2 linked regions of the Struthio camelus genome follow. The protein of the gene in region 1 purifies or fractionates together with the protein of each later gene. This does not show direct contact. Links are inferred from orthologs where the notes say so. Each region holds a gene or a part of one and is shown in the gene's direction. Other genes may lie near its edges. The genes, in order: MTHFD2 and HRAS.

Region 1 (14,962 bases):
TTCCGTAATGGTCCCATACAACATGTTGATTTGGTTGAAGAAATCCACCGCTGGAAAGAAAACGCATCAAGTTTACTCAAAAGGCAAAAGCGAAGCAGAAAGGTACCGTAGCACTACTTCATTTTATTCAGCCGACAAAGCCTCTGAGGAACGCTGTCACGGGGCGGGGGTGCACCTGCACAAACAAACGTTCCCCTTCCGTACAATGCCACGCGGCCAAAGACTTAGAGACGTTTTGACAATCTAGGAATTTTACTCGCTCGCTCGGTGAGCTTTCATCTCATTTTTCGACTTAGGACTACTTACTATTTGCACAGCACGAAGCTTCTCTTCACCGTGGCAGTAAAGCAGCATGCAATTTATCAGGAAAAATCAAAAAAAGCCCCACAGAGAAAGCCTTCCCGTTTTTTCATTTCAATACAAGACAAATCAATTTCTAGCGCCCGAGTTTTCTTTTTGAAAGGCTACTTGAGAGCAGAGACCAGAAAGAAAGCTATCACCGGCCCTACAGGAGTTCGCACCATTTCTATGAGCGACATAAAGCACACCGCTCCCTATGTGCAAAAGGGGACTCCGGGATCAATAGCAGCCTGCCTGCGTACCCCGTGCCCTCTTCTCATTTTTCATAACTTGCAAATGACTGTTTCACCTTCTAGATGCCTTTAGAAAAAGGCTGGACAACACCTTCACCCACACAGTTTTTACAAATACAAGAGATCCTCTTTAAGCTGAATCTTGGTGGCTTGACTTTATGTCTCCCATTGCTCAGAAACTGCTTTTTTCCTTTAACATCTAAAGGAATCAAGGACAGGTAGAGCAATCACTAAAAGCAAATTAATTTGCCTGTAATTGTTCAACCATCAGAATTAACCCAGTATTTTTACTCCATGTGCAACAATAACAACATGAAAATGGAAAATAACGCCAACCTTCTAAGCTAGAGTTTAACGGAGGTGAATGCAGTTCCATTTTTCTCCCCGTGTGCTGTTTGCTGCTGTGATTTTTGCAGCCGATAGCGCTAACTACTTGCTTTATAGTTCAAAACATCAATACTGAACACTCGCACCCAAATACTGATGTAACCATTCAGAAATCTAATTGCTTTTAGAAGCCTGACCTTTAAAAAAAACAACAGCGTGGGTTTGTCTTGGGGTTTTGGGGTTGTTTTTTGTGCTTCCTGAGCTCAGCATCTATTCAACACAGGATCAGTTTGCTGTCAGGGCATGCCCTAAAACTTACTCTTTCCTTTTATTCCAGCCTTCCTTGACACAGTTACCTACAGTATGTCTGGGACACAGATAAGAATTTCATTTTTTAAGGATGTAAACCAGAGATGTATATATAGGTATTTTTAACTCCACCTCCACGCTGAGCTGGATTACTCTTTCTTAGGACTCACTGTTAACTGCGATCCACTCATTAAGGTCTTCTCCCTCCGGCAACATAACCGCTTGTCTAAGGTTACCGCTCCCCAAAGTTGCTTCGGCATGTTTCAAGAGTTCATACTGATGGGAGCCTTCAGGAATGTTCTTCTTGGGTTTGAAGGTTTTCGAAGATCGACTGCCACTGACAAAAGAGAAACACGTTTCCAATTAGTCCTTCAGCAGCGTTCCCCTCTCAGAAATATTTAACTCCTGCTGCGGCTTTCCCTTCGGGTGACCGTATCTGCCCTTGCCGTCCAGCACTTTTAACAGAGGTTATATAGCAGTCCTGCCCTTTTCCCTCACCCCCGACACCAGGCCTCTCGTCATCCTCTTCGAGGAGAAGAGAGTCCACGTGCAGGCCAAAGCAGTTTTGACAGCTTCACAAAAAAGACACTAATTATGTGCTGCCAATTTAGCAAGAGAAATTTTGAATAGAGATGGTCCACAGTTACCTACGTTAGCTTTACTTGCAATTTTGGGACCTGACCCCGACTTTCCGAACAGGACCCTACCCGCACAAACCCTACAGTGGAACCACAGCCACGTGAAAAAAGTCCTATACTTTAGAAAGTATGACTACTTATTTTGCATTTGAGTAGCATTTATAGCTCCTTTTAGCCAAGGAAAGCGTTGCTCTGAGTTTCACATCTCTGTGCTTTGAAGTAGAACTTTATCTACAGAAAAAACAAGCCTAGAGGTGTGTGTGTGTGGGGGGGGGGAAACACTAATGTGCCATGATTAACTGTTGTTGCCTCTGTTCTTGGGGCAGCTTCTGCAAAGGAAGGACAGCTCACCTACCATCACCTCAGCCCCTGCTACCGGAACATGGATCAACATGCAAACAAAACATCGCTTTCCCACCCCCAAACGAAACATCACTTTCCCACTCCCGACTACCATAGGAAAGTAGCTTGTCAGGTATTCGAGTGCAAACATCGCTACAGACCCTTCTGCTGACACGGAAATCCTTTGCCTCGTCTTAAAAGCTAGCAGTCGCTCTAGCCACATGCCGAATTCTCTTTTCTATACCCTTTTCAAATCACAGGAAACATTTGGTGCAAAGAACCAGAACGCTGATTAACAGCAGTTGCCTTAAATGATACTGGCAGACAGGTAAGGGGGAGGGGGGGCAGGACAAAAAACACCACCTTACCCAACCACAAAACCAAAAATCTGTTGGCTGCTGCTACATCAGCTTTACTGGGGCAAATATGAGATACTTACTGCTCAAACACAGCGTAGGAAATCGCCTGCTAAAAATAGCAACTTCGCATACTCCAGCCCCGCAATGCAAATTGCTGCTGTGGTTAGTCTTCACATACTGCATAGCATGAACATCTGCGCTCATCAGACAAATCATTTAGTGACTCCAGACCCCAATTTCCCTGTCCCTAAAACAGGGATAACAGTACCTGAGCCTTCTTCCACAGAGCGCCCTAAAGAACATCCGTGACAAAAAACAAAACAAAAAAGCACCCCCCCCCCCCCCGCAACAGTATTATCTTCATTTCTGTGTACAAACGCTAAGGCTTCCAAAAACAGGCTCTACACAGGATGAAAGGACTGAATTCTTTTTAGACCGTGCAGCACGTTGCACACCAGAGCCTGAATCCTGAAGAGGAACTAACAATTACCACTAGCAGACGTCGATTTAAGAAGATGAACACAACAAGCTATGCGTACACAAGCGGTCAACTGCACAGCTACCAGGCTTAAAAGGGAGGAATTTTGATGCCTTTAAATCACAGCCATGAACCTTCAGGCACCCAACTGAGCAGAGCCCTCCCTGTCCCGCTCCTGGATTAACAGTCCAGACTAGCAGTCCGCTGCCTTCACCAGCATCACTTCTGGTTTCAGGAGGCAGAGGCACAAACGAAACGAACGGCAGGGCCCAAGTTTCTCCCGTTAGTCACTCAGTGGAAACACGCTTATCTGGCACACGCAGCTCAGCATCGCTGGCACCCTGCCTCAAAGTCGCACGCAACTGGACGCGCTTGGCTCACACGTGCCTCGTGCAAGCTTCTTGATGCAACGCTACCGCGGGACTGACAGCACTTCAGCGGAGCGCAGAGTGGGTGAAGCTATCTGTTTGGTGCAGAAATAAAGGGCCTTCACACCCAACTCGCTCTAAACCAAGCTACTGCCTCCTGCTACGCTACAGTAGATGCAGACCCAGCATGTAATTGACCCTGCACAAAGGCTCCCCAGCCCCTTCTCGCGCCACAGGTCACCAACTCCTTCTCACACGCGGCACCCAAGAGCTAGGAGCTACAAACATGCATACCTGTAACACCCTACCCTCTGTAGCTCATCAAAGACACATTTAAAACATCAAAGTCAAGCAGTCTCTCTGTTTGCACGCACTTCCTCCAAATCATTTGCCACAGCTCAACTTCAGCCCACGTATCAGAACAGGCATGTCCTGCCCCATCAACCCAGAGAGCCTCAGCCCGCCTGGCATACTCCTGCCTGTCCTACGGCATGTCTCCTAGCTTGCCGACACCACGCTCTCATATCCAGACATCGGTCCTCTGCACCAGTGGCCAGCTCCAGCCTGCTAGGCTATCACCTCCCCACCCCAAACAAACATATAAGATACACCAAAGTCTGCCAGCTTAATGCCTTTCCCAACTGCAATCAGGCTGCCCCACATCCCATCAGCACAGCCCCTCGTGCAAATACGGACACTGAGGGCACAAGCCCTTTCCGCTGCAGCAGCTCTTTTCCACACGCATACAGCAAGGCCCACCCAAATCCCACCCAGAAGGAAGCCCCACAGAGCAAGGGCCTCCCCTCCTCTTTTCTGCCTCATCCCACTCTTTCCATGCTCGGAATCACCACCTTGAACCGCTCCTCCACACGCTGGAAAACCCTCTCCCACGTCCCATGGCCTCCACCCATCCATCCCAAGGGCTTCCCCAAGAGACAGGCCCTACTCCAGTCACCCCAGGGCTTCTCCTTCCCCTCTCGCAAGCCTTCCGCCACAGCACGTCACCCCATTTGCCCCAAAGGCCCTCCCCATGCACAAATTCCTAGAGCCTCCCACTACTGGGAATCATCCCTGCAGACACTCAGCAATTACAACCCTGATGCAGCCCCCCCCCCCTATCTGCAGGGCCTCATCTCTCCCCTGTAAGACCAATCCCCTCAAATTCTCCCCAAGAGGGAGGGACTAGTCCTTGCAATACACCCCCTTTCCAGGGCCTCCCTCACCACAAAGGCTCCTCCCCCCATAGGCTGGCAGGGTATTCACCCTACTTGGGTGCTCCCCAGGGCTGCCTGCCTCACCCACCGCCCCAAAGTCAGCTCCCTTCCCCAGCCTATCCCAGGACTTTGGCTCTAGGAGACACCCTCTGCCACAGCCTTCCAGCCTGAAACTGGGAGCTGGTCTTAGAAGTAGGTGCAAAAACATATACGCTGCCAGGGCCTCCTCTGGCTTCCTCCATAGGACTGCACTCTTCCCCACCACCCCTAGAGCCTTTCCCAAAGCCTTCCTCAACCCCCTCACCTTCCATCCCCACGGTCTCCCCATAAGGCCTTCCTCAGCCCCCCTCCTTATACCCGCAAAGCCTCCACCTCGAGGTCTCCCTTCAGCGCTTTCTCCTCCATACATCCCCAAGGCCTCCCCGCCAAACACCCAAACCCTTCCTCCAGCCCCCCACTAACCCTCGAGTCTTCTGCCCAAAACATTTCTCAAGGCCCTCACATGCACCCAGAACTTCCTCCTAATGCCTTCCTTAAAAACTCTCTATACGCTGCTACGGCCTTGCCTCGAGGCCCTTGTACACACACAGGGCTGCCCCCTAAACCCTCTCTGAAGGCCCCTCCCCTGCATTGCCAGGGCCTCCCCACAAGGCCTTCCTCCAGCCCCTGTCTCATTTCTAGGGCCTCCCCCTCCCCAACACCCCACATCTCACCACAAGGCCTCTCAGAGACTCCCCCCGCACCCCCAGGGCCTCCCCTCACTCCCCGAGGCCTCTCAGAGAACCCCCCCGCGCACCCCCACGGCCTCCCCTCACCCCCCGAGGCCTCTCAGAGACCCCCCCGCGCACCCCCAGGGCCTCCTCTCACCCCCCGAGGCCTCTCAGAGACCCCCCCCCGCACCCCCAGGGCCTCCTCTCACCCCCCGAGGCCTCTCAGAGACCCCCCCCCGCACCCCCAGGGCCTCCTCTCACCCCCCGAGGCCTCTCAGAGAACCCCCCCGCGCACCCCTACGGCCTCCCCTCACCCCCCGAGGCCTCTCAGAGAACCCCCCCGCGCACCCCCACGGCCTCCCCTCACCCCCCGAGGCCTCTCAGAGACCCCCCCGCGCACCCCCACGGCCTCCCCTCACCCCCCGAGGCCTCTCAGAGACCCCCCCCCGCACCCCCAGGGCCTCCTCTCACCCCCCGAGGCCTCTCAGAGAACCCCCCCGCGCACCCCCACGGCCTCCCCTCACCCCCCGAGGCCTCTCAGAGACCCCCCCGCGCACCCCCACGGCCTCCCCTCACCCCCCGAGGCCTCTCAGAGACCCCCCCCCGCACCCCCAGGGCCTCCTCTCACCCCCCGAGGCCTCTCAGAGACCCCCCCCGCGCACCCCTACGGCCTCCCCTCACCCCCCGAGGCCTCTCAGAGACCCCCCCCGCGCACCCCCAGGGCCTCCCCTCACCCCCCGAGGCCTCTCAGAGACCCCCCCCGCGCACCCCCACGGCCTCCCCTCACCCCCCGAGGCCTCTCAGAGACCCCCCCCCGCGCACCCCCACGGCCTCCCCCGCGGCCCCGGCACTCACAAGAGGAAGCTCATGGCGAGGCGCCGGGCCGGGCCGGGCCGGGCTGAGGCGAGGCGGCGCCGCCGGCTGCAGGCGCGCGGGCCCCAGCTGCTGGCGGGCCGCGCCCGGCCGCTCGTCCCTACTCTCGCGAGAGCACCGCGAGACTGAGCGGGGGTTGGGGAGGGGGGAGCGCCGCGGCAGGGGGCGGGGCCTCGACGCCGGAGGTGGGGGGGGGTGGAGCCCTCACCATGGCAACCGCCCCGCCCGGACAGTGGCGCTTGCAGGACCCTATGGGGCCAGGCCTCCCCATGGGCCTTAGAGCCCTGTACGGGCCCGGGATGCCCGTATGGGGCTAGGCCCCCCTGTGGGGCTAGGATCCCCAATATGGGGCTAGGACCCCCCCATATAGGACTAGGCCCCCTGTACGGGCTTAGGACCTCCCCTATGGGCCTAGAACCCCTGTCTGAGGCCCTCCATATAGGACTAGGCTCCCCTATGGGCTTGGCCCCCCCCATGGGACTAGGCCACTCCTATAAGCTTGGGACCCCCATATAGGACTGAGCTCCCGTACGGGCTGGGTTATGCTCCTGTGTGGGCCTGGGGCTCCCCTATAGGACTGGGACCCCCCCCCATCTAGGAGTGAAGCCCACTATGGGTCTGCAGCTCCCACAGGGTCCTGGGACCCCCGATAGGAGACTGGGCTGCCCATGCATCTGGGTCCCCCTATGGGTCTAGGACCCCCCCCAAAGGCTTGGGCAGCCCTATAGGACTGAGACCCCCCACCATGGTCTTGGGGCCCCGCCCAAAAGCCTCCCCCCCCCCCCGCCATGGGCCTGGGCAACCCCACAGCCTTGCGGGCCACTGAAGCGCCCCTCTGCCAGCCCGTGGCTTACGCAACCCCCAGCCCCTATTGCAAACTCCCTCCCCGCCTCCGGCCCAGCCAATCAGCGCCGCCGTGCCCATCTACGGAGCACAAGCCCCGCCCGCCACCACCAATCAAACACGGCCGGCTCCTCTCGCCCGGCCCACCCCGTCCCCCCAGCACCTCTCTCCCTCGGACCCAATCGCAGCGGAAGAGCCCGGGCTCCGTCCCGCCCCCTCCCTCGCCGCCGCCAATCATCTCTCACCTTCTCCTCGCCGCTCGCCTCGCCGCGGCGATTGGCTGCCGCCGGCCGCGGGGCCGACGGCGGCGCTATATAAAGCCATCCTCGGCTCGGCGGGGGTCCTCGCGCATCCCTTGTGGCGTGTCCCTTGTCGCCTGCCGTCGTCGCGCCGGGGAGAGCCATGGCAACCGCGCTGGGCCCGCTCCGCGCCCTGGGCCGCGCCGCGCAGGGCTCCGGTGGCGGCGGCGGCGGCCGCCTCCACCTGCTGCCGCGGAGCCGCCGTCTGCACCTCACGGCGCCCAGGTAGGCGGCAGGGAGCGCCCCACAGGGGCGGGGGGCTTATTTAGGGATGGGAGGGGCTTATCGGCTGGGAGGCGGGGCTTACCGGCGGCGGGGGGGGGGGGGGGCGGTGGCACCGGGCCCGGTTTCCCCCCCCCCCCTTCCTCCCGCCGTCGCCACGCCGGTTGCGGTACCGGCGCGGGGGCCCGGTGTGGGTTGAGGGGTGGGGGGGGGGGGAAGGTCCAGCCCGCTGCCCCCCACCAGGGCTGCGAGAGCCCCCCCGTCCCCGGGCCGCCGGTACCGGGAATGAATGAGGCAGGGCCCCCAGCGGCCGCCCCGGGAGGTGCAGGCTGATGAAATCCCACTCCTGCCTTGCGTGTGGAGCCCGGGCTGCTCCCCTGCCCCGGGGCAGCCTCCACCCCCCCCCCCCCCCCGAGAGGAGCCCCCCAGGGCAGCGGGGCCCTCCCGACCTTACTGGCAGCACTGGGCAGTGCCGAGGCCTCGCTATCTCTGGGCCAGGAGGAGCCCCCCGTGCAGTGCTGCCCCCCTTGCGGAGGGCTCGGGGCCTCCTCAGGGCAGGAGGAGCACTGATCCCTGTTTTCAGTGGTGCCAGGGGACTGGAGGGACCCTCTTAGTGTGTCCCCTCAGTGCCCCTGACTGCTATGACTTTGTGCAAGAAACCCAAACGAATTTACTTTCTCCTTCTCTTTAGCTATCACCTGAGCAGTAATACACCGCGAGGCTAAAACAGCTTGCCCCAATGCCATAAAAACCCCCTTTGGGAGAGCGGCTGCTTCCACTTTGAATTTTTTTGCTGTTTCATGCTTTGAGTTCTTACTTTGTCAACCTCGGACTTCCCGACAGACCTCAAAGCTGGTGAGCCTCAGGCTGGCGCCTGATGTGTCTCCCTTTCCCCTCTTGGCCAAGGCTGGCACCCCTAGCCTCTAGGGTTATGCAGCCAGGATATTCTGGTAAATTCTTGTTTCAATTTGTCTTTGGACTGGTAAAGTAAGTGTTGGAAGTGGGGCTGAAAGCTTGATTTTTGAACTTGCCTTTTGTGCTGATAGTAGCTTGCCAGGTGCCTGTAGTAATTCCTTTTGCTTAGTGCAGGTTTAGCTCTGAAGCTAAAACAAGCTTTAAAAAGGCTCAGCAGGCTAAGCTAGTCCGAGATGGATTTTTCTCAGTGGTTACTGCTAGCTAGATCTGACTTGGATGATTCCCTTTAGCAATGAGCTATGATTCAGTAATGGGAAAGCTACCTATATGAATAGCTCTGGGATTAAGAAGAAGCAAAAGATCCCCTACACCTCCGACAAAGCATTTTGGCAATAAGGCTTTCTCACCTGGGTTGGTACCTTCTGCGAGTTGAGTAGCTTCTGAGGCTTGTGTAGCTGTGAAGCGCTTTGCGGGGCGACTGCTTCAGAAACTGGCTGGTTCTTGTGATTCAGGAAGGTGCCGAAAGTGTCCCTCGCGTGATGCTGCGTGGAGCATCTTTGCCTGCTTCGAGTGAGGGGACTAACTGAGGGTCCTGTCTTGGCCAGTGAAAATCATCCAGCAAGTGAGCAAGGAGCTTGTAGCGAGGCCTTGCATGAAAGCAAGGCTCAAATGCTGTAGCTGAGTCCAGAAGTGACACTTGGGAAGGTGAATCCCGTCACAGAGGAACTAGTGAATGAGCATGACTTTCAGATTGAAGTGAGAACCTGAAGAAAAAGGAAAGCAAACAGTTAGTATATAGCCAGCTGGCAGTGAGGCCTGGCAGCCGTGTCCTCAGCTGTATTTTGAGCAAGCCTTTATGTACTGCAGGGTATCCAGTTGCCTGGAATGTACTTGGCAAGAACCATATATATTCCTGTTACCAATTTAGCCTAGAAATGCTTGCAAGGAGCTGTTCCTGTGTGGTTCAAACAGCAGGCAAATGTGTCCTCCCTACTCTGGCAGAAAGTTGGCGTCTTAAAGCCTTGCAGGGGGTAAAACCAAGTATCCTCAGTATGGCTTTACCTGTCTGAAAAGACTACTGCAACGGTGGAAGCCCCCCTTTAAAAAGGGAGGGCACAAGACTGGTGTGTGCAAGGTACGTGCTGTGCTAGGTGGGCTGAGATCCTTGTCAAGGGATTTGTGGGAGATGGGGATCTCTGGCAACAGCGCTGTGTGCAGAAGTACAGTGTGCAGCACCTCCTGTGCTGTGTCAAACAAGCTAGTTACTCAATAGACCTCTCTAGTGGAAACTCCACTTGGTGGAATGAGTTCTGCTTTACGCAAGTCCTTTGTAGTGAAGCTGTCGTGCCTTTGAAAGGGACGGATGACTGACCTTCTAAAAAAGGAAACTAGTAGTATCTGACTTGATGTGCTGGACAAGAGTCTGGACTCTTGCCCTTCCAGAGAAGAGTAGTCTGCGGGCTTTCTGAGGTTGCACAATGAGTTGGTCCTTGCAACAGTTTTACTGTTGTCCGGTATCAAGGTTTCAGGCAGCAAAGCTGTAAACTAGAAGATTGAAATGTGCTGCTTACCTGGTGTTTTCTGCAAATCATGTCTTGCACTACAGTTGCAGCAGACCTGTGTGTGTGGCTGAAGTGAAAGGGCTGTTTCTGTAATGCCTTGTGGTGGGCACCTGTTTCCTGGGTGGTTGTTGCCCAAAGCTAGAATTTGATGCTCCTAACAGTGCTGACTGCTTCATTAACACTCTGTTTATTGCAGCAATGATGCAGTTGTAATTTCTGGAAGGAAGCTGGCCCGGCAGATCAGACAGGAAGCCCGTCATGAGGTGGAACAGTGGGTAGCGGCTGGAAACAAGAGACCTCACCTCAGTGTTGTTCTTGTTGGTGAAAATCCTGCAAGCCACTCCTATGTACTGAACAAAACCAAAGCAGCTGCTGACGTAGGTAGGTCTTGTACTCTGCTGTTCTCCAAAAATGGAGCAAGTGACTGTTTAATATCTTGCTTTAGTTGGGAGCCCTCTATGCTGGGGGGAAGCTTTCAGGATGCGGCTATCTGGCAGCTTTTCACCAGTCTGGGGTTTACCCCAGCAGTTGCTGTTACTTTTTGGCTGCTTTCATAGTAATACTGGGGTGTAGTTAATGTGAAAATGCAACATCAAGCTATGTATTGTGAATTGGCAGGCCTCTCGGGTCCACACAGGACAGCCTGCAGGGAACTTTGAGCAGTTGAAAGAAGGCAAAAATCAAAATGCAGTTGACATCCAGTGCACTCCTGCTACTTTGTTGTGACTCCTTCCAGTCTTGCAAGCCAAGATCCTGTTCCTTAGGCTGCCTGAGGTGTCCTAAGTATGCTTCTAGGAAAGATGCTGAGGGGGGTTGGGGTGCTAAATGGCCTAACCCCTCATAGGGTACTGTGCTGCTAAAGCCTTCTCTGGAGCTGAGTTTTTAGGCTAACATCCCCTTGTCACTCTGTCAGGAGGGTCCACGGGAAATGCAGCTGCATCTTCATCCTACCACATTCCCCATAGGTTTCTCAAAGGGCTCCATGCACTTGGGAGGGCTTTGACTTTCAGGCAGTCTTTCCTGAGGGTGGCTGCACACAGACTAACTAATGGTCCTTATCCCTAACTTTCAAGGCCTTCCAGACTGGAGGCTGTCACAAGTCTTGCTTGTAACACCAAGGAGTGTATGTATTCTCATATTGGATTTGGTACAGCAATGATGCACGGCTGAGAGTCCGATTGGACTGGGTTGAGGAATAAGGTTCCTGCTTGTGCGCATACAGCTCTCTAATACAGCACTTTGAATGATTGCACAGGAATCAGCAGTGAAACAATCCTCAGGCCAGCTTCTATTACTGAAGAGGAGCTACTGGATTTGATTAGCAAACTAAATAATGATGCCAATGTGGATGGCCTGTTAGTGCAGCTTCCTCTGCCTGGTGAGTAGCTAGACTTCTATCTTTTTCCTGTTTTTCTTATAGAAGTCTTGAAGGGTCTGTAGGTGCCAGAATGAGGTGAAGCACAGGAGTTCTCATGTCACAGGATAGCTGGCAATCTGCTATGCTGCAGCTCAAAGAAATTGATACAGCAGCTCCACCATACAGCTGCCTATGCTGCTGGCCTTGCAGAAGTCTATTCTTGTATGGGCAGTATCATCTTTCTGAGCCAGAAGCTTGAAGTTGTGACACCGAGGCTGTCTAAAAATATCCTTTCTGCATTAGAGACGCTGCAGTTCCGGTGTGGTTCCAGTCCCCTTCTGGGGGGAGCTGTTAGCTCTGAACTTGCTGGAAGTTTCCAGTAGCTTCAAGCTTCCAAAGCCCAGAGGGGCAAAGGGACTGGTGCAGCAGGTCAGACTTTGGCTGCCTGGAAAGAGCTGGTTCTGGCTGATCCCTAGGGTTAAAGCTTTTGGATTATTTTTTCAGAACATATTGATGAGCGAAAGGTTTGCAATGCTGTGACCCCAGACAAAGATGTTGATGGCTTTCACGTGATAAATGTGGGGCGTATGTGCCTTGACCAGTACTCCATGCTGCCAGCTACCCCGTGGGGGGTGTGGGAGATCATCAAGAGGACTGGTAAGTTGCTGCAATATTTGGCTGCTGTCTAGCATAACAGTAGCGTCTTTGTCTTAGACTCGGTCTTGTGTGCTGTAGGCATCCCGACGCTGGGGAAGAACGTGGTGGTGGCTGGCAGGTCGAAGAATGTGGGAATGCCCATTGCCATGTTGCTGCATACAGATGGCAGGCACGAGCGCCCAGGAGGTAGGAGCTTGGCAGCCTCAGTGCCTGCACCCCAGATGGCTGCAGAAGGAAGCCCTCTGTGCTTCTCACATGGTCCTTGCTGGGCTCCTAAACCAGTCCTGGGACTGCATTCTGGACTGGTGTATCCTGTGGGTTATGGCCGCTTGTGGCCTCAAGCGCTTGTGACCTCCACAGCTGAGTTGAAAATTCTGCCCTTATGCAGTCTTGTAACACTTCAGGGCCATCTTCAGTAGTCCTTGGCCTCTCAGTAGGCTGCTCCTTGTGGTTAGTCATCAAGATCTGATCATCCTGAGATGGACCAGGCTGGTCTTGAGGGTGAAGAGTTAGAAATGGCTGGGTTCAGGTAGTACCCATGGGTAAAACATTCTATGTAACTGCTCTTGCAGGTGATGCCACAGTAACAATATCTCACCGCTACACTCCCAAGGAGCAGCTGAAGCAACACACAATTCGGGCTGATATTGTGGTAGCAGCAGCAGGTAAGACCAAACTCTGGAGTAGGCAAGGTGCACAGAAGACACTGCATTGATGCTTACATGTGGTGTTTATGATGGGGAATCTGCTCTGAGGAGACAATCCAGTTGGTATCGGATGTCCTGGGGGCCTCTCCATCTGAAGCAGCTTTGGTAGTGTGGGAGAGCCTGGCTCTACCATGGCTGTTTGCAGATGCTGTAGGCAATGGCTGGGAAGGTGGGTGAGGGGCTATTTGAGCCTGCCAGGTTAGACTGATAAGCGTAGCCACATGCTTGATCTTACCAGCAGAGCTGTTTGCAGGTCTGTCTTTGAAATTAACACCTGGCAGAATGACTTGGTATGCTCCCAAGCACCTGACGAGATCCAAAGACCAGCTACAGACAGGCTCTGTTAAACATTCAGACAGTTTGTATTTCCCACAAACATACACAAAACAGGGTCTGCTTACCTAGAGACAGTGAAATGCTGAAGGACAGTTGCTCTAGCATCTTCAGAGCCTGAGGAATTGCTCACGCAGGTTTACTCTTCTCCAGGCTCTGCCCTAGGCATGGGGATAGCTCATCTGCAGAAGTGTTTTGCCAATTCAGGTTCTGTGCCTGCCAGCAGAAGCTTGGTGTAAGCCTGTGGGGAGGGAGGAGAGAAATGCAGGTTAGAAACAAGATCCTGAAAGGATCAGAAGTGGTAGTGGTGTTGAAGGTGGCACTGCATGTAAGGACAACAGCCACGCTGCTGGCAGATGAAGAAAGGTAGCAGAAGCTGAGTAAATTGCCAAAGATGGTTATCAAACCAGAGCAGGACTTGCCCTAAAGAGTTAACCAGCTGAATGGGGTGTAGGAATTTGAATTCCTCAGCTTGCAGTCAGCTGAGGCAGTATCTGGTAAAACCAGACAAACATACCCCACCCTGAAAGGGTGGCTGAGCCCTCAGCTGCTGTTCCCTACCCACCTCCCTGCCATGCTGGGGGTTTTATCGCCCTTAGGTGAAGCCAATGCCTCCACCAACTGGGTTGTGGTGAACTGAGACTTGCCCTTGTGAGGCAGGGAGGCCTAGATGGGTCAACCTACATTATCTGGACAATGTAGAAATGGGATGAGGGGGAGCAGGGAGTTGTTTAGTACCAGTATAAGCATGCAATTCTGTCTTTTTTTTAATGCAGGCATACCCAATCTGATTACAGCTGACATGATCAAAGAAGGAGCTGCAGTTATTGATGTGGGCATAACTAGAGTGCAGGATCCTGTCACTGCCAAACACAAACTGGTTGGAGATGTGGATTTTGAAGGTATAAAAGGCTCTGGCATCTGGCAGTTTGAGTGTTTAAACACTTAGGGTGCTGAGGAGCAGGGGAGAAAGTCCTGGGTTGTGTGATGGAGCAGATGCAGACCACTGCTGAAGTTGCAGTGCTTGGTGCGTGTGCTGTTGCACAGAGTGCATCCTGAACTTGGGCAGTTGGGTCACTTTAGCTACTTTATTTCATACTTGGACTCCTGCCTCTAGCTTCCACCTCATGAAAACATGCAGGACTTACCTTCTGGCTTGCTATTCCTTGGCTTTGCTCCTCACTTAGCTGCAGCAGTGCCCAGACAGGCTGTTGTGATGTGCCCTGCATCTCTAGGTACCTGGCAAAAGACACCAACACCTGCTTGTGGAAGAGACTACAAATGTTCAGCCTGTTAGTGCTTCTTTGTAGACCCTGCCAGGAGCATGCAGGAGGTGCACATCTGCTCTCTGGCTGTAGACTGCTGGTCTAGAACTATCAGACCTGGCTTTTCCCCTGACTTGGCCTCTGAAGTTAAGCTTGGTCAGCAGCAGGGATGGTCAGAGTATAGTGTGCCCTCTCCTGGGTAACAGGGCAAAAGAGCATTGGTTTCTCAAGTCTGACTTGAAGACTGCAAGCCAAAGACTTCGGCTTCATGGTTGCAGCTTCATGTGCCAGCTTGGTGACTGTTACTGCTCCTGATGTACCTGCTAAGCTCCAACTCTCCTTCCTGCAGGGGTGAAGAAGAAAGCCAGCTACATCACTCCAGTCCCTGGGGGAGTTGGGCCCATGACAGTTGCCATGCTGATGAAGAACACCATCATAGCTGCCAAGAAGCTGTTGCAGCCCAAAGAGCTGAAAACACTAACTGTTTAATGTGGGACTCGCTTTAGCACTGAAAACAACATTCCAGTTTGACTCCCAAGCAGGCCGATAGAAAATGCAATATTTATTTATTGTCTGGAAGTGAATTTACTA
Region 2 (14,755 bases), on another chromosome or scaffold:
AAAATATGCAGGACCATTTGCCAGGGTTAATTTTTAATAGTGTCCTCACCGCTGCAGTGGATGAAGTCATTTATTACAGCCAGCAGTACGCTAACACACTAGGCAATAATAAACGCTAAAGAAGGTGACTCAGGAACAAGCAACCAGAGGGAGCTTTACATTCCCACCTGCCTGATGGCTCGGCGCAAAGGGCCGAGCGTGGCATTTAGCTTCGCCGTACACCGAGTCTTCGTTCTCGGGACTCCTGGATTCGAGCCAGGATGCCAGCTAGGTTTATTTACTTTGTCGTCATGTGTGCACACACATAAACAGAGTCGCAGCAGGCTGTGTGGCCAGCCCTCCCCTCTGCCTAGGCGCTCTTTGCCTCTAGTGAAGTAGGTTAATATTCCTCTTAGGCAGTCATTGCTGCTGTGGGAACGTGTCAGCCCAGGCAGTTTGGCCCTTAAATATGCTTTGTGATCTCAGGCAGACTGGAGCGCAGCCTACCCACCTGTAGAACAGGTTTAATAGCAGTCCGCTTTTCTCTAGAAATGCTAGGGGGATTACTTCACGTCTGAGATGTTCAGATGAGAACGGCTCAGCGGTCGAGAGTATTTTAAAAAGAGCAACTGGAAATCACGGCTAGACTGGCAGCTCCGTGCGGGCGCGGAGATGACCACAGAGGCAGCGCTGTTCTCCTCTCATTACCCGCGATCCTCAGAAAGGCTGGGATGTAGGTGGATCAGAAACCAGGGGAGAAAGTGCAGTTGAATACTTATCAAGGAGGATTCATTCTGATTTTACTGCTCTGAGATATACAGGCTTGGGATGCAGGATCTCTTTTGCCTTCCGAGTGAAATGGGGTGGCAAGGCAGAGTCCCCTCACCAGCTCTCACCCTCTCATACCTATCCGCTGTAGTATTTTTGCCTCCACAGAGCAGTCCAAAAGCCACTGAACGAGCCCATGAATCCTCCTCACAGTCTGCAATAGGCTTTGGATCTGACCTCAGTGAGCCAACAAGAACATGCTGCTCAACATGCTATGACAAGTTCCCTGGCATGTGCTGATCCCAGCAGGAGAGCTGTTATAAGCTGTTACAAGTACGCTCCTAAAAAGGAGGAAGATCTTGACGAAGGAGGCAGAAGCCTCCTGCTCAGTCCTCACTCCCACCACGCAGTGCCTAAGCACATGCTCCCTGAAAAACACCAGTCTCTCCTAAAATCGGGGAGCAGAGCAGTCCTGAGTCCGTTCCTTCCTCTGTCCGCTATCACAGAGAAGCTAGAGAGGGTATTATATTACTCTTCATTCACTTTGCGATCGTGTAAGTCTCCCAAATCCCGCTGCCGGTAAGCCCCAATGATTAAACAGCTTACTGAAGGGAAACTATAGCTAACGCCTTCTGCTGTTATCAAAGCACCTTGCTAATGAGGACTGGGAAATCACTCAGTGGTAATACCACATCTGTAGATTAACATTAGCTTACTCGTGTTTTCATAGTCAGTGGCTAAAATTCAATCAATTACTCGGATCCACATAACATTTCTGATGAGTATTTCAGTGCATCAGTCTCAGCATTTGCCCAAAGTACTGGAAACGCAAAAAGCAAAGCCAAGATCCTGAGACCAGAGGAGAAATCTGCAACATGTTGATTTGGACATCTCAGCTGGGGTATCTTACAGGAGGTCTGACTTCAAAAACGTTTAACATTTGCCCTCTGGAAGCCATCAGCCAGCACTTCAGTGATGCGCGCACGCACCCACTTACATCACTGCCGAGCACACAAACACCCGCCTGAAGAGTTTCTAGGAAACGGGCGATGGCCCTGCCTCAGCCCTGCAAGACACGAGCGACTGCAGCTCCTCTTCCGTACTTTGCCTTCCCTGACGGACAAGGTGCAGGAGAAAGGGGCTGATGCAGACAGAGAGTGAGGCAGGTGACCCCTTCCCCTTTATGGGGTCGGTATGGGACCATGACTGCCCTGCTTGGAAAGGCCTCTGATAAGGAAGGGGGGGAGCCGCCAGCAAAAAAGAGGATCTATGCGAAAGAGATGTAGAAGAGACCTGGAGATCAACTAAACCATCTCTCTGACTGAAGGCAAGATCTCTACCCCCACGCTGTACTTGAAGGGGCTTGTATAGGAAGACCCGCCACCAGGGTGAGGGTCTCTAGCGCTAGGGTCTCTCAGGACAGCCTAGATAAATAAGCTGCGCCTGTGCATTAACTATGCTAACCGTTAAGGAGCTCTTCTGATACCTGACGTAAACCTCACTCGGGGTGGGCATACCGCTGCCACCACGAGCTTACAGGGTGCAGTATAGCTCAGGATCTCGGGCTCTGACAGCAAGCAGCTCCCTGCAGGAGCATCTGCCTTGGCTCTCAGTAACACAAAGGCTGAGGTCAGCAATGGGCTTTGTTACTACAGCAGTACAGTCCAGGTAAATTTTGGGTAATCACTGAAGGGGACAGAGAAGGAGCTGGAAATCCCCAGCAAGAGACTCAGGAAGAGGCTGGCACAGTGGAAAGCCACTCTCCATAACGGAAAGGGACCAGGAAAGCAATTGCCAGCTTTATGAAGGTTGCATATAGGGCTAGCGGATGCACCAAAGGCTCGAGAGTACTGAAGAAGCAGGGAGTTATGGTAGAGGGCTGGAAGCCAACCTCCTGTCCAGTCTACAGGGCAGCTACTTGTTAAATGAGTATTATTCTGCATCAGCTTTACTCGCTTTGCAAAGGTGGGAACTAAGGCTCAGGGCAGCTCCTTATTGAAGGAGGAGAAACAGGATTTAGGGACGGGCTCGACAGAAGAGCAGCAAAGGATGAGCAGCTTGAGTTTGATGATGAGAAGGAGGGATGTGTGGCAGGGGTAGAGACAATGGGCTGCCAGCAATTAAAAAAAAGCAATCAAAGGGAAAGAAACTAGTAGTTTAACTAGATAAACACAAATGTCTTCAATTCTATCTAATTCTACCCTGTGTGCACGCTTGAATCAGGCTGCGCAGCACTGCTTTGAAATTTCTGTGAGAAACAGATGTATTTAACAATTGTTCCTCAATGTTGGGGTGGGGGGAAACAGCGTTCGGGAGCAAGAAGATTCTTTTTAAAAGAATAAGAATAATCTTAGTGTCGCCTCCAGGAGAGGACGTGGGATGGTCCGAGATTTAAGTACAAAGTCATCTGGTACAGAGAAGCCTTGAACTACACAAAGACAAGCGCGTTGCACATCGGCAGGTGCTGAAATGACACAGAGAGCAAGGCATCCCTTAGCGGCTCCTCTGGTTTCCACACCTCACATTCTGGTTCCTGCCAGCAAACAGGACACAGGCGACACAGAGCATGGTAAGTGATCTGAACCGCCCCATAAAGAAACTGCCAGCAGGCAAACTGCAAAGCGTTCAAACTTTTCTGTAGGGTTTGAAAACTAAAATTGCACGGGACAAAACGCTGTGAGGGCTCGTTTAATGAAAAACAAGGCTTTCTAATTCCAAAGGCCTGAGTTACTGCTGTCTGAAGACGAAGCAAAAAACCTCCCTCCGAGGGCAGTGATTCGAAGATCAGGCTCTGAGGGAATGATTGACACTCGTTTCAAGCTGACAGCTAACAAAAGCTCTTGTACACACGCCAGCAAACTGCTGCCAGGAAAGTCACTGTGGCTCCTACCTTGCAGATTTCTACGTTACTGGACCTCCTACCTTGTTTGACCCTTGCTTATCCACCCTGGCAATCTCAGCAGGGAGGCCTGGGAGTGAGTGGAAGCAGACGTGGGATGTTTATCAACCCTGGTCACTCTTGGCCAGGTGGGGGCTTTTCCATGGAGGGCTCTGTGCCATTTTTAAGTAACTCACGTTCTAGAGTTGGTGCAACAACCCACGAAGAAAAGCACAAAACCTTCAAAAAGAACATTTGCTAGGGATTTAAGCAAACACCCACAGAAACAAATGGGGCACTTTTCTGTAGAGGGCAGTGCTTTTCAGACCAGACTGCAACTGGTAGGCAATTGTGCAGCTTCTAAATAGAGTGTCAGAGATCTAATCGAGATTTCCTCTCCCGCCTCTCCACCCCGCTAGCAGAATCTGAAATCCACAACATCCCACCATCCAGCCAGCTGGGGGCTTCCCAGTACAAACTACTGCATATCATGCATATGGAGATAACATTCTTGTTCATTCGCACAGCGTTTCTATGGGGAGACTGGCCCATGAGAAGTGACCAGTCCCTGAATTATGTCTCGTCTTTTCTTTCCCCCCCCCCCTTCCAATTTACTTTACAGGAAAAAAAGGAAGCAGTAATAGTTTGCATTTTTAAACCGTGGAACAGAGAACTCCTTCCACTTCCAAGCTCAGATTACAAAGCCCTTCCCCTCGGCGACTCCACAACATCTTATGTCCTTGAGTTTCCATGTTCAGTTTCCGACTGATCAAATCTAACTGTTAGCAGAATCCACTGTAGTCAATAGGAATCCTTCCTATTTCTAACACTAGTGGTGCTTGGGTCAGGCACCTGGCAAGGCGCTGCCCGAATTCTTTGTTTCTGTCAAAAAGGAAATACATGACAGGAGGGATCCCGTCCGGGATCAGATAACTCTCCAAACCAGTCACTTTGCTATGCCTACCCAGAATGTTCTGGGATGTTTTCATTTGGTTTAGTTTAAAGGGGCTTTTGAGTACTGTATTTAGTAGAATTTAATCCAATTTCAATGCCAGTATTTTGGAGATTAGAAACAAAGTGGCTCTATGCTCTGGTTGGGTCATCTGCAGCAACGTGGCGTTTTGATGGAGATGATATGAGGAAGGTTTTGTCAAATGATTCAGGGTTAATTAATTCAGGGTTTTATCCTGTTAATTGACTAGTACAGGAAATATCTCTAGTTCCGTTCAGTGTCTTTTGCTGATGATGTCCTAAAATACTGGACTGGTCTTACTTTTCCTCCCCCCCCACCCCCCTCCTTTCCATGTGGTCTCTCAATTGGACCGCTGCTTCCAAGCCTGAGGTACCTCTGAGAAACCCGCCCTGCGGGATGACCCTGCTTGCAGAATTTCACGTTTGTGATGTCGCTTGTGGCCATGTCTTTTTTGGTGCAATCTGCAGGAAGGATTAGCTCATAGACTTTAGGAAGGCTCTCCAGCAGACTGGGTTAAATTACAGTGTTAAATGGTTCTTGCTTGTATTTTTCTCTTTTAAATCAATGACTTTCCTTTATCTAGGGCTTTCCGTGTGCTGCAGAAGACTCAGATTTTCCCCACAGTGTCTTTATAGTCAGTCATTTACAGTATAGCAATTCATTGTCAGGAGTAAACTATAGCCCTGCATCTCCATATAGATTTATCAGTTACATTGAAATCCTCTCTCCAAGGCTGCTTTCCAAGTAGTGCTATTGCTGGGTCTTGTGATCTAGCAATATTTTCTCTACAGCCTCACCAGGAAGTTGGAAAAGGACTGTCCACTAGTCTCAATAGTTTTATCTGTAAATTCAGCTAAGCCCCTAGGCTACTCGGAGGGCTGGCTACCGTTTCGCAAGCTTGACCACCTTACTACTTTACCAGCAGCCTAAACTTGAACTGGGAGGGAATGTTTTTTAAATAAAGAGGAGGAGCATACACTTCATTCCATCACCCAATTGGAGCAGTGCTACTTGTAGCTCATATCAATAGCCTAGGGATTAAGAAACTTTAATTTCTTTCTTTCACTTTTCAAAGGTATTCCCCAGAAAGCAACCCATCCAGCTTAGGCACAGAACAAACACTTCAGGTAGCTCCTATCCCCCCACAAGATTTACAAACGTGCCTACCTTAAGCACAGGAGAGGTCCATTGGCTTCTCCGACTACTCACATACATAACAGTTTTCTAAATCATCCTCCCTCAGCTAAAACTCCATTTTCATCTCCTCCCACAGTGACAGCTCTTAAGGTTTCCCCTCTCCGTCCTTAACCAGTTCCCTTTGTCAGGTCTCAGCTCTCTCCATAAATAAGTTGTACATCAACGGGCCTGCCCTTCCCAGAAGCATCCTTAGGATGGGTTTGAAGAAGGAGCCTTCGAGCCTACTCCATCCTCTGCCCAAGCTAACTCCAAAATGCTCCCAGATCTGCAGAAGACACCTTTCCCTTTTAGAAAAAAAAAAAGTGAAAAGAACCCAAAACAGAGGCTTTTGGAGACTGTGAGCCAAATTCATTTCAGTAGAAACAGGTTTATCCCTTACTGGCATCTGTAGAGTTGCATCAGCTTAGTGCGGAAATGGATTTGGCCTTGCATTTCTGAAAATCCAGTCCTGTTCCAATTCTTCTGACTATTTCCTTCTTTCCTCCTGACTGCACTTCGGTTTTGATCCAAGTATCAGAGAGGCTGGCAAGGCTGCTAACTTGCACTACAAACTTCTTCTGACAAGTTCTGCTACCTAGATGATGCACAGTCCACCAGTGAACAAAAAGGATAAGGTCTCAGCTTTTTTCCTTGCTATAGCAACCAAGCACCTTGCGATGATCTTTTTCTTTCCCCCCTTTCATAAGCTGGTTGCCATGGCAAGTTACTGGTGCTACATTGTTACATACAAAAAGGAAACAATTTGCATTCTCTGCAAAACTCAAAAAACTTTCAAACTTTACCTCATATCCATTCGCTTTCTGCCATGATATTACTGACCCTCTAAGCTCTGGACAGAGATGGGCAAGAGAAACATGCCAGAATGGCAGAAGTGCTTGCAGGATTACCGAGTCTGGTGTTTCTGCAGGAGAAATAAATAAACAAATAAACAAATAAATCATAAAGAGTTTGGTATGGCAGGAAAGCAAAGATCACCCCAGAATCTCTGCTGCTCTCAATATGCTCCCAGAGACAATATTTAGAAGAGCATACAGATACGGTCTCCCTTCCAAACACTCCAAGAAAGTTTCAGTTACACAGAAGAAACAAAAAATCCACAAAAATGGACTAGCTGAGTGTAGGGAGAACTCAAAACCATGGAAAGAAGCAGTCTGCAAAATTACACAAAGTTAGGTGTAATCGCCCATACCTCAAAGGAACAGAAGACACAAGCAGACACTCCAAAACAACAACAACAAAAAAGGCAACTAACAGCACTACCCTCCCCTGGGTGTCTGCTGAGAATTGATAGACCCTTCGGGGTGGGGTGAGGCCAACGGAGCAGGCAGAGATGACAAATTGGGCTTGTTCTGCATCACAAATTGTGTGTGGAACCGGCCCAGAGGACAGGCAGCAGCGCTGAAGGGCTGGCCGGGAGAAGAGACAGATGGCAGCCCAAGGCTGGCCAGGAACGTACATCCTTATGTCACCGTGACTGGTCTCATTTACGCTGGCATAAATTCAGCTTATCTGAGTTAATTACACCAGTGTTTCTCTTGGTGCAAAATGGCAGGCTTGAGAGGAAAATCTGGATGTATTCAAACCCCTTGTATATTTAAAAAATTACTGTTATTTACTTTGCTGGTGATATTGATGGCAGCAAGAAGAAATATTCACGGGGGGGGGGTGGGGGGGCGGCACGGCGGAATAGGCAAAATAGCTCAGCTTGGCTGTCACCAGGGTGTTTCTACCAGAAATAACTCTAAGAAAAGATTATCCTTTAAAAAAACTTTTGGGATAGCCTTGATCTACAGCCGAATAGGAAGATCCAGTGCTAAATGAGCTCTTGGCACAAGTTTGTGCATCACACGGTGGAAAGCTGAGCTCACCTGTTGTCTATGACTCCCTTCTTGCCGAGGTTAAAGGGGAATAGCAACGCTAAGCAACTATTTTTGGGGGTCAGAGCGCTTGCAAGACTCGGCGACATACCTTCCCAGGACTCGATTTGGAGTACTGTTACAAAAAGCCCTACTGACATTAGATGGGCTAAGCACGGCCGTGAGTTATGGGCTCCGGTTTGCAGGCTGATGACAGTCAGGAAAACCTGCAGGCATCAGGATGACAGAGCAAGCCTCAGCAGCTCTCTAACCCCACAGCAAGTTCCGTTTTGGCACTTTTACCGTGGAAGTCAGGACCCCCTGAGATTCTCCCCATTTCCTCTTCATTGCTCTAAGTGTCAGCAGACCCAATTTACGACCAGCCTTCCCTTCCTCCCGTCAAGCAAGGCTTGCAACAGTTAGTGTCACGGCAGGGTTTCCTCGAGAGCTGCATGTTTCTCTTTGCCTGCTTTGACGTTTGCCATAGGGCAACGAACCGCACTGGCCGCTGGAAGAGTTTGGTGATGGTCCAGTCGGAGACACCACAGGAGGAGTTACCAGCGGTTTGCGGTGGTGGCATTTGTACTGCTGTTACAGCGGCATTGCATGTCCTGTGCTTGAATAAGAGGGCTCTGCCTTCCAGAGGCCTCACATAGGCCAGGACGTTTTACTAGCGTTAAATTCAAGTTTGGAGAAAGGAAGGGTCCGGCCAGGCAGGATGACTTTTTGCAAACGAAACAGACCATATCCTCAGCAAGCATGAATCAGCCCAGCTTTGCCGAAAGCAATGGAGCTATGCTGCTTTGCAACAACTGAGGATCTCATCCCAATGTTTTGCTTTTTATTAAAAAAAAAAAAGAGAGAGAGAGAGAGCGAGAGAGACATTTTTAAGCTATATTACTCTGCCCTCACAAGTTTGTGTCATCATCCCTATGTGATAGCGTGGTCATGACTCACCAATAGATGATTATGCCTCTGTCTTGCAGCAGACTGCAAACAAAAAACAGTCCTCAGGTATCTTATGTCCTGCTACGATCTGGCACCAAAGAACAAGCAAGAGGCAGTTTCAGTCCCACCTTCTGTTTTCTTGGTACTCGTAGGTCAGGGCGAAGCAGGAAACTAAGGTTTGCCCATACCTGTGTCTGCTACCTACCACCTATTTGTTTTTTGCTCGCTGATCAGCTCTTCTGGGCCACCTAGGCATTGAAAAAACGTACTGAGCCCGCTTCCAGGGTGCTTCAAAAAGCAGGATTTCTGTATGCTCCAGTACCCTGCCTGCTCACCAGAAACGGATAAGACAAGACGAGACAGGTAGTGCAGAGAGGCGGTGCGCTGCGCGTACGTGCGTGTGCCTGCGAAGAAACCCATCACCTTTGTGTTTGCTGCTGCTGCTCCCGCTGTCGGCGCGCTCAGGAGAGATGCTGCGCTTCTGCCAGCCGCGGTCCCTGCTTTTGCGGAGAGCCGAGGGGTTGCTCAGGATCAGGAGAGCGTTTTAGAAGCGAGCGAGCGTTTCCGAGGTAGGTTAAAAGCCTCGGCCCGTGGCTTCGGACGCGCCTTGAACGAAACCCGCGCCACCCTCGGCGGGCGTCCGTCCGTCCGTCCGTCCTTGCAACTTGCTTCATCTACGCAGCGCTCCAGCTACGAGTTCTGCAGGGCGCCAGCTTCCTTTTCGCTACCCGTGTCAAACCGGGGTGCCTAGATCAACCGTTTCTAACCCCGTTTTCAGGTTCTCAGCTACCTTTTTTGTTGTTGTTGTTGTTGTTGTTTTTTTAAGGGAAATACCATAGGGTGGTGGCGCGCTGGAAGGGTACGTTAGAGCAAACGCCCCTTTCCCCGCGACCAGGGGGACACGCTCTGCTGTCCTGCCTCAAAGCTCCCTCGCGCCCGCTCCTAGATGACCGGCCGGGGGGGGGGGGGGGGGTCTACGCCACCCAATATCCCCTTTTCTAGAGTAACCGCAGTGCCTCGCGGTAGTAAAACGCCCGAGAGCGGAGGCGCGCTGGGCCCCGGCGTACCTGAATCGGCAGAAGCAGCTCGGGTCGGCGGAGGGTTTTGCGAGCCCGGATTTAGCTCCTGCTCCGAGTTGGGGGGGGGGGACCCGGAGAGGCCCCGACGACAGGGCCGCTCGCCCCGGGGGGCCGAGGTCTGCCTGTCAACCAGGATGAGTGGGTTCAGGTGGTGCCTTGTTTCGGCTACGGAGCCTCATCGCGCCCCAGCTGCCTTTGCTTTCGCGGGCTGGCTTAAACCGCCTGCAGATAATTCGGATTTTTTTTTTGTTTGGTTGGTTGTTTTTCTGGCTGTTTCCCGTGAGGCCAGGCAAGAACCGCCTGAATCCCGCGGGATTCAGCCCCTACAGCTTCACCCACCGGACAACGCAGACACGACAAACCCCCCTTTACCCTTCCCAACCCGCCCCCCCCCCCAAAACCCCCCCACCCCAGCCGTTTGCCGGACAGCAGCGCAAAGGCAGCTCCCTCCAGCTCTACCCACGGGGGAGCCGCCGGCCTCGCAGCTCCCCTAACCCCCCCCCCCGCCCTTTTTTGGGACGACACCGACGCCCCCGGGAGGCCCGGCAGCAGCCGCCGCCCCACCAGACCGAGGGGCGGGGTCGGGGGAGGGGGGCGGGCCCCGGCGCGTGATTGACGGGCGGCTCAGCCCACGGGGAAGGGCGGCGGCGGCGGGCGCCCGCCTATCAGAGGCGGCCGTGTGGGCGGGGCGAGGCGCGGCGCCTGAGCCTGGGCGTGTGCGGCGGGCGGGCGGGCGGCCGGCGGGGCGCGCTCCCGCGGCCGCTCCCGCTGCTCGCTCTGCCCCCCCCCCCTCCCCAAACCCCCGCCCCGGCTCGCACATTGTCCGGGCGGCGGTAGCGGCGGCGGCGGCGGCGGCAAAGCGCCCCGGCGCCCGGTGCCAATGCGGGGCGGGCGCGGCCACGCCGGGGGCGCCTCCACCACCGCGGTGGAAACTTCACCTCGCCGCCGGGCCGACGCACGGCTGAGCGGGGCGGGAGCCCCCGGCGGCTGAGGGAGGGGAAGGGGGGGGGGCGGCGCGGTTTTTAGCCTGAGAGGAGGGGTTTTTGTTTTTTTTTTGTTTGTTTGTTTTTATTTTTTATTTTGCAAGAAAAAGCATACTATTCTCCTTTAAACTTCCGCCTCTCCTCCTCCTCCCCCCCCTCCCGCCCCTTCCAGGAGGTGCCTCCCGCCTGGCGGGGCGTGCGAGCCGGTGAGTGACCCGCCGCCGCCGGTTGGGGGGGGGGGGGGAACGGGCGCAGCCGTTAAGGGAGGGGGCGCGAGGGCCGCAGCCGTTGGGAGGGGGGAGGGGCGGCGGCCGTTAAAGAGGAGGGTGGGGCGCGGCCACCTGTTAGCGGGGCGGCGGCCCCCCCCCCCCAGTCGCGCGCACGCCGGGAAGTTTGTCGTGTCCCCCCACCCCCGTCAGTGGGGCTGGCCCCCCCCCCGTTGTGGTTTTTGGGGAGGGGGTAAGAGGGCCCCGCCGCGGCTCGGGGGACACGGAGGAGCGGCGCAGATCCACCTGCTCGCCCGGCCGCGCCATGACTCTGCTGTCTGCGCGGCCGCGGGGGGGGGGGGGGGGGGGGGGGGCAAGCCGCCTTGCTCTGCATCCCCCCCCCAAAGCCACACTCCCTGCACGCTGTGGCTCTCCTCAGCCCCTGCATCCCTCCACCTCTGTGATGTCTTCCCCCCCCCCCCCCAGAAAAGGAAAGAAAAAACCCCCACAACTCGCCAGCCTCAGCAGCGCTTGTCATCCCCGACACACACCAGCACAAGGCATCACCCAGCTCAGGGTGGGGGTGAGGCGCAGCACGCAGGTGCAGGTAGGTGCCACCCAGCCAGGCCCCGTGTGGGAGCTCTGCGGAGCCGTCAGCACCTCCCTTGCTGCTGAGGGAGGTTTGCCGCCGGGGCTCTGCGGCGCGCTGAGGCTGCCTCCACCCTGCCTGCTGCACAAGGGCATTGGGAGGGGCCCCGGCCGTGCTACCTCTTCGCCCCAAGCAGGCGCAGGGGTCTTCTGGCAGCTCCCTCGGCCCATATGGATCCTGGGCAGGGATATGTTTTTTAATTGCCGTGAGCATTCGGGAAGCAACGGGGCTTGCCTGTAGACAAAAGGAAGCTGATTAGGAATCAGAGAGGACTGTCAAACTCTGGAGTGACTGGAGAAATGCTTAGAACAGCTAGAAGCACAAGTACTATATAGCACATATTAGGAATAGCTTGACTGTTTAAATGACCTAATGTTTTTTTTTCCCTTGAGCCTGCTCACCATGAAAGTTACTCCTAGGGAGATCTTTAAGATACAAGCCCCTACTAAGGGTTCATCATCCCAGTTTGGTGTACATGGGTAAATTTTACAGGTTCAAGTAAGAACCAGTTTTAAACAGAGAAAAGGCACTAGGCTTTGTGCTAACTAAAGAATTACAAGAGAGCTAGTGCAAAGTCTTACCTGAACACACAAGATTACCAAGGTATTACCTTCCCCAGAGACACCACCCCAACTGGGAGAGAGCAATGTGAGAAAGGGATGCTTTATCTCCTCCAGCCTTGCTTCTGCTGGGTTTTCAGCCAATCGTGTTGCCCCCCTTCAGCCTCACATAGATGCCTTACACCTGTGCAAAGGGGGATTGCACTGGGCCCATGGTGAGGTTGCTCTTCCCAGTGAAGTCCAGGTGGTTAGTGATAAGGCTGATGGGCACTGGTTTCTCCTGGTCAGAATTACTAATGTATTCATCCTTGCAGAACTCCAGATTATTTTCATTTTACAGCTGGGAAACTAAGACTTGCATGATTTTCCTGATTTTGCACAGGGTGTTTGTAACAGAGCCATGACTCTGAATCCAGGTGTGAGTTCCCCTCCATGTGTTCAGGCTTGACAGTCCTTTCTTTCTGCTCCTCAGAGGTTTCCCCCCCACATGATTAATAACATGCAAACTGCTCCATTTCAGCACCAGTGCAGCTGATGCTGATTGAATTCCTCGTTCAGTCTCCTTGGCGGGTCTGGAGACTGGCAGTGTTTTCACTGGAGAAAAGTCTGCTTTGAGGTGTCAGTGTGTCTTTTTTGGTCGCAGTGAACTTTCCTTATTTTTGTAACAATAAAAAGAAGATTAAGTATGTGAGGAAATACCTTCCATGTTTGCAAAAAATTAGCAATAATTACCTCAGGTTGGGGTATCACTTATGTCATAACAGTTAAACGGGACTTACAGCCTGAGGGACACTTTTCCACCTGATGGATAGCCCCAAGGAGTTATCCTTGGTGAGGCTCTCTGTTGCGGTAAATTTAGTTCTTGGCTACAGTATATTGTGAATGGGCAGCAGTAGTGGGAGTAACCTCCTACGGTTTTCTCTGTCAGGTTAGAAAGTGACAGTCGCAGTTTCCTCATTGACAGCCCCGTGTCACTTTATAAGGCGCTCTGCAGGGCCCTCCCTGTGTATGGCATTCATCAGCCTCAGTGGCCTTCCACTTGTGGTCTGAGGACCCTTCGAGGGGTCCAGAGGCCACTCCAAGGAGGTGAGACAAAATACACAGGGAGGCCCAGTTCATCTGTTATTTACGGCGGCCTACATATGTGAAATGTATAGAGGGGTTTGTGTTACTATTGCAAAACTATATGAGTTCACAAATGGAAAAACAGATTGAAAATTGCCGATAGACTTTTTTAATCTTAGTTCTCCTAAGGAGATTTGAAAATGGCAACTGGTACTCAGGAAGCTTTTCCTGGTGAGAGTAGGTTACCAGTACGTCATTTTTCACATCAGTCTCTTTCGTCTAACTGTGTTGGAGGGAGGCAAAGATAATCTCACAAACATAAACATTTACTTCCAGAGACTGCAGCCAGACAGCACCATTGCCCCTCCTGCTGTTTGCCCATGCTGAATTTACCTTCATGCTAACCTATGCTTGGTTCTCCCTAACACATTTGTGACTGTAGGGACTGGAAACTTTGTGCTCTTGGCTCAAGAAGGCTTTCTGAAGTTGAATATGGGGGAATTCCTTAATTGAGACAAAAATTACCACACGCAGAGAGTGGTTCTTTCTGGAGGGAAGGTGTTGAAGAAGGGAAGAGGTAGGAAAGGCAGTCAAGCCATGTCTCGTCTGCCATCCTTCAAGATTTGTTATGTCACTGTGCTTTTTGTCAGTCTAGAAAAGGAAAATGATTGTGTACTGAGCACTCTTATCTAATTGTAATTTATTATCACTTTTCTATTTAACATTTTTAAGTGTAAACTTATAAGCAGGGCTTATTAAACAGCATATAAAAATAAAACTGTTGAATATATTTGAATTTCACCTGTATTAATCTAATAATACATTTATAAAGTGGTATTTGATCAGCTTTATAGCTGATTGGATACCACAAGAGAGTATTAAATAAATTATTTGACAAATACGGCTGAGATTAAACAAATGATCTGTTTGCTAAGTGCTGTTCAACTGCTCTGCCATGGCACGTTCCTCTTGCTTTATTTAGGCTACCCTTTCTTTCCAGTTTTCATTCCACTTTTTCATGCTTTATCTTTTCCTGAACTGTCCTCAGTATCTATTTCCTTTAACTTTTCCTTTAACTCTTTCTCCTTTCCCTATATTGTTCTTTCTTTGTTCTGCAGATCATCTTTTCTTTCTGTCTTTTTTCTGCCTCTTTCTTCTACCTCTCTTTCCATGCCTTTTCATTCTAAATTAGCCCATTTTCACCTTTTTCTCCACCTTCTTGGTGGTGCTGCACATTTTTATCGGAACACTTAATAGCCAGCTGAACTAACCCCAGTGACTGCATATGACTATGCAGATGTTTGCCCAGTGGCGATGCTTCTCTGCCTCTCCCTTGGTTTTCTGGCTGTTGCGAGAAGCCTGGGCCCTCTTGAAGGTTTTCTCACTCACCTCATGTTTTCAGAGTCTGTATGAGTGACATGTTGATTAGAGTAGTAACAAGAAGTGGACAGGTTATCATGCATGCCTACTTGGGCAGAAAGAGAGTATTCAACTTAGTAAACTTAGTATTAAAAGATTAAGGTGTCCTAAAAATGAAAATGCTGTCTCCTATGGAGAAGATTTGTGTTTTTCCTGGGTGAAATCTATTGGGAATATTGTTAAGAATAATGAAAG

What was found.
Region 2: the proteins of MTHFD2 (region 1) and HRAS purify together in Homo sapiens (co-immunoprecipitation; 4 studies listed by BioGRID and IntAct, with this or other methods). This does not show direct contact. The link is inferred for Struthio camelus from reciprocal best matches to the Homo sapiens genes MTHFD2 and HRAS.

What each region holds. Positions count from the first base shown.
Region 1 is NC_090968.1:1,085,031-1,099,992, forward strand, and holds the start of MTHFD2 (bifunctional methylenetetrahydrofolate dehydrogenase/cyclohydrolase, mitochondrial), read left to right. Parts: upstream 1-7,219; 5' UTR 7,220-7,456; coding exon 7,457-7,578; intron 7,579-10,248; coding exon 10,249-10,433; intron 10,434-11,307; coding exon 11,308-11,430; intron 11,431-11,913; coding exon 11,914-12,066; intron 12,067-12,144; coding exon 12,145-12,252; intron 12,253-12,638; coding exon 12,639-12,731; intron 12,732-13,882; coding exon 13,883-14,008; intron 14,009-14,720; coding exon 14,721-14,860; 3' UTR 14,861-14,962. Other genes in the region: MOB1A (MOB kinase activator 1A), read right to left, coding at 1-50, 1,400-1,566, 6,194-6,207. UniProt on the Homo sapiens protein: Although its dehydrogenase activity is NAD-specific, it can also utilize NADP at a reduced efficiency.
Region 2 is NC_090946.1:15,868,319-15,883,073, reverse strand, and holds the start of HRAS (GTPase HRas), read left to right. Parts: upstream 1-9,026; 5' UTR 9,027-9,168; intron 9,169-9,288; exon of another isoform or gene 9,289-9,377; intron 9,378-9,666; coding exon of another isoform or gene 9,667-9,800; exon of another isoform or gene 9,801-10,135; intron 10,136-10,357; exon of another isoform or gene 10,358-10,867; intron 10,868-11,352; exon of another isoform or gene 11,353-11,418; coding exon of another isoform or gene 11,419-11,729; exon of another isoform or gene 11,730-12,593; intron 12,594-14,755. Other genes in the region: LRRC56 (leucine-rich repeat-containing protein 56), read right to left, coding at 6,578-6,696, 9,667-9,800, 11,419-11,729. UniProt on the Homo sapiens protein: Involved in the activation of Ras protein signal transduction. Ras proteins bind GDP/GTP and possess intrinsic GTPase activity.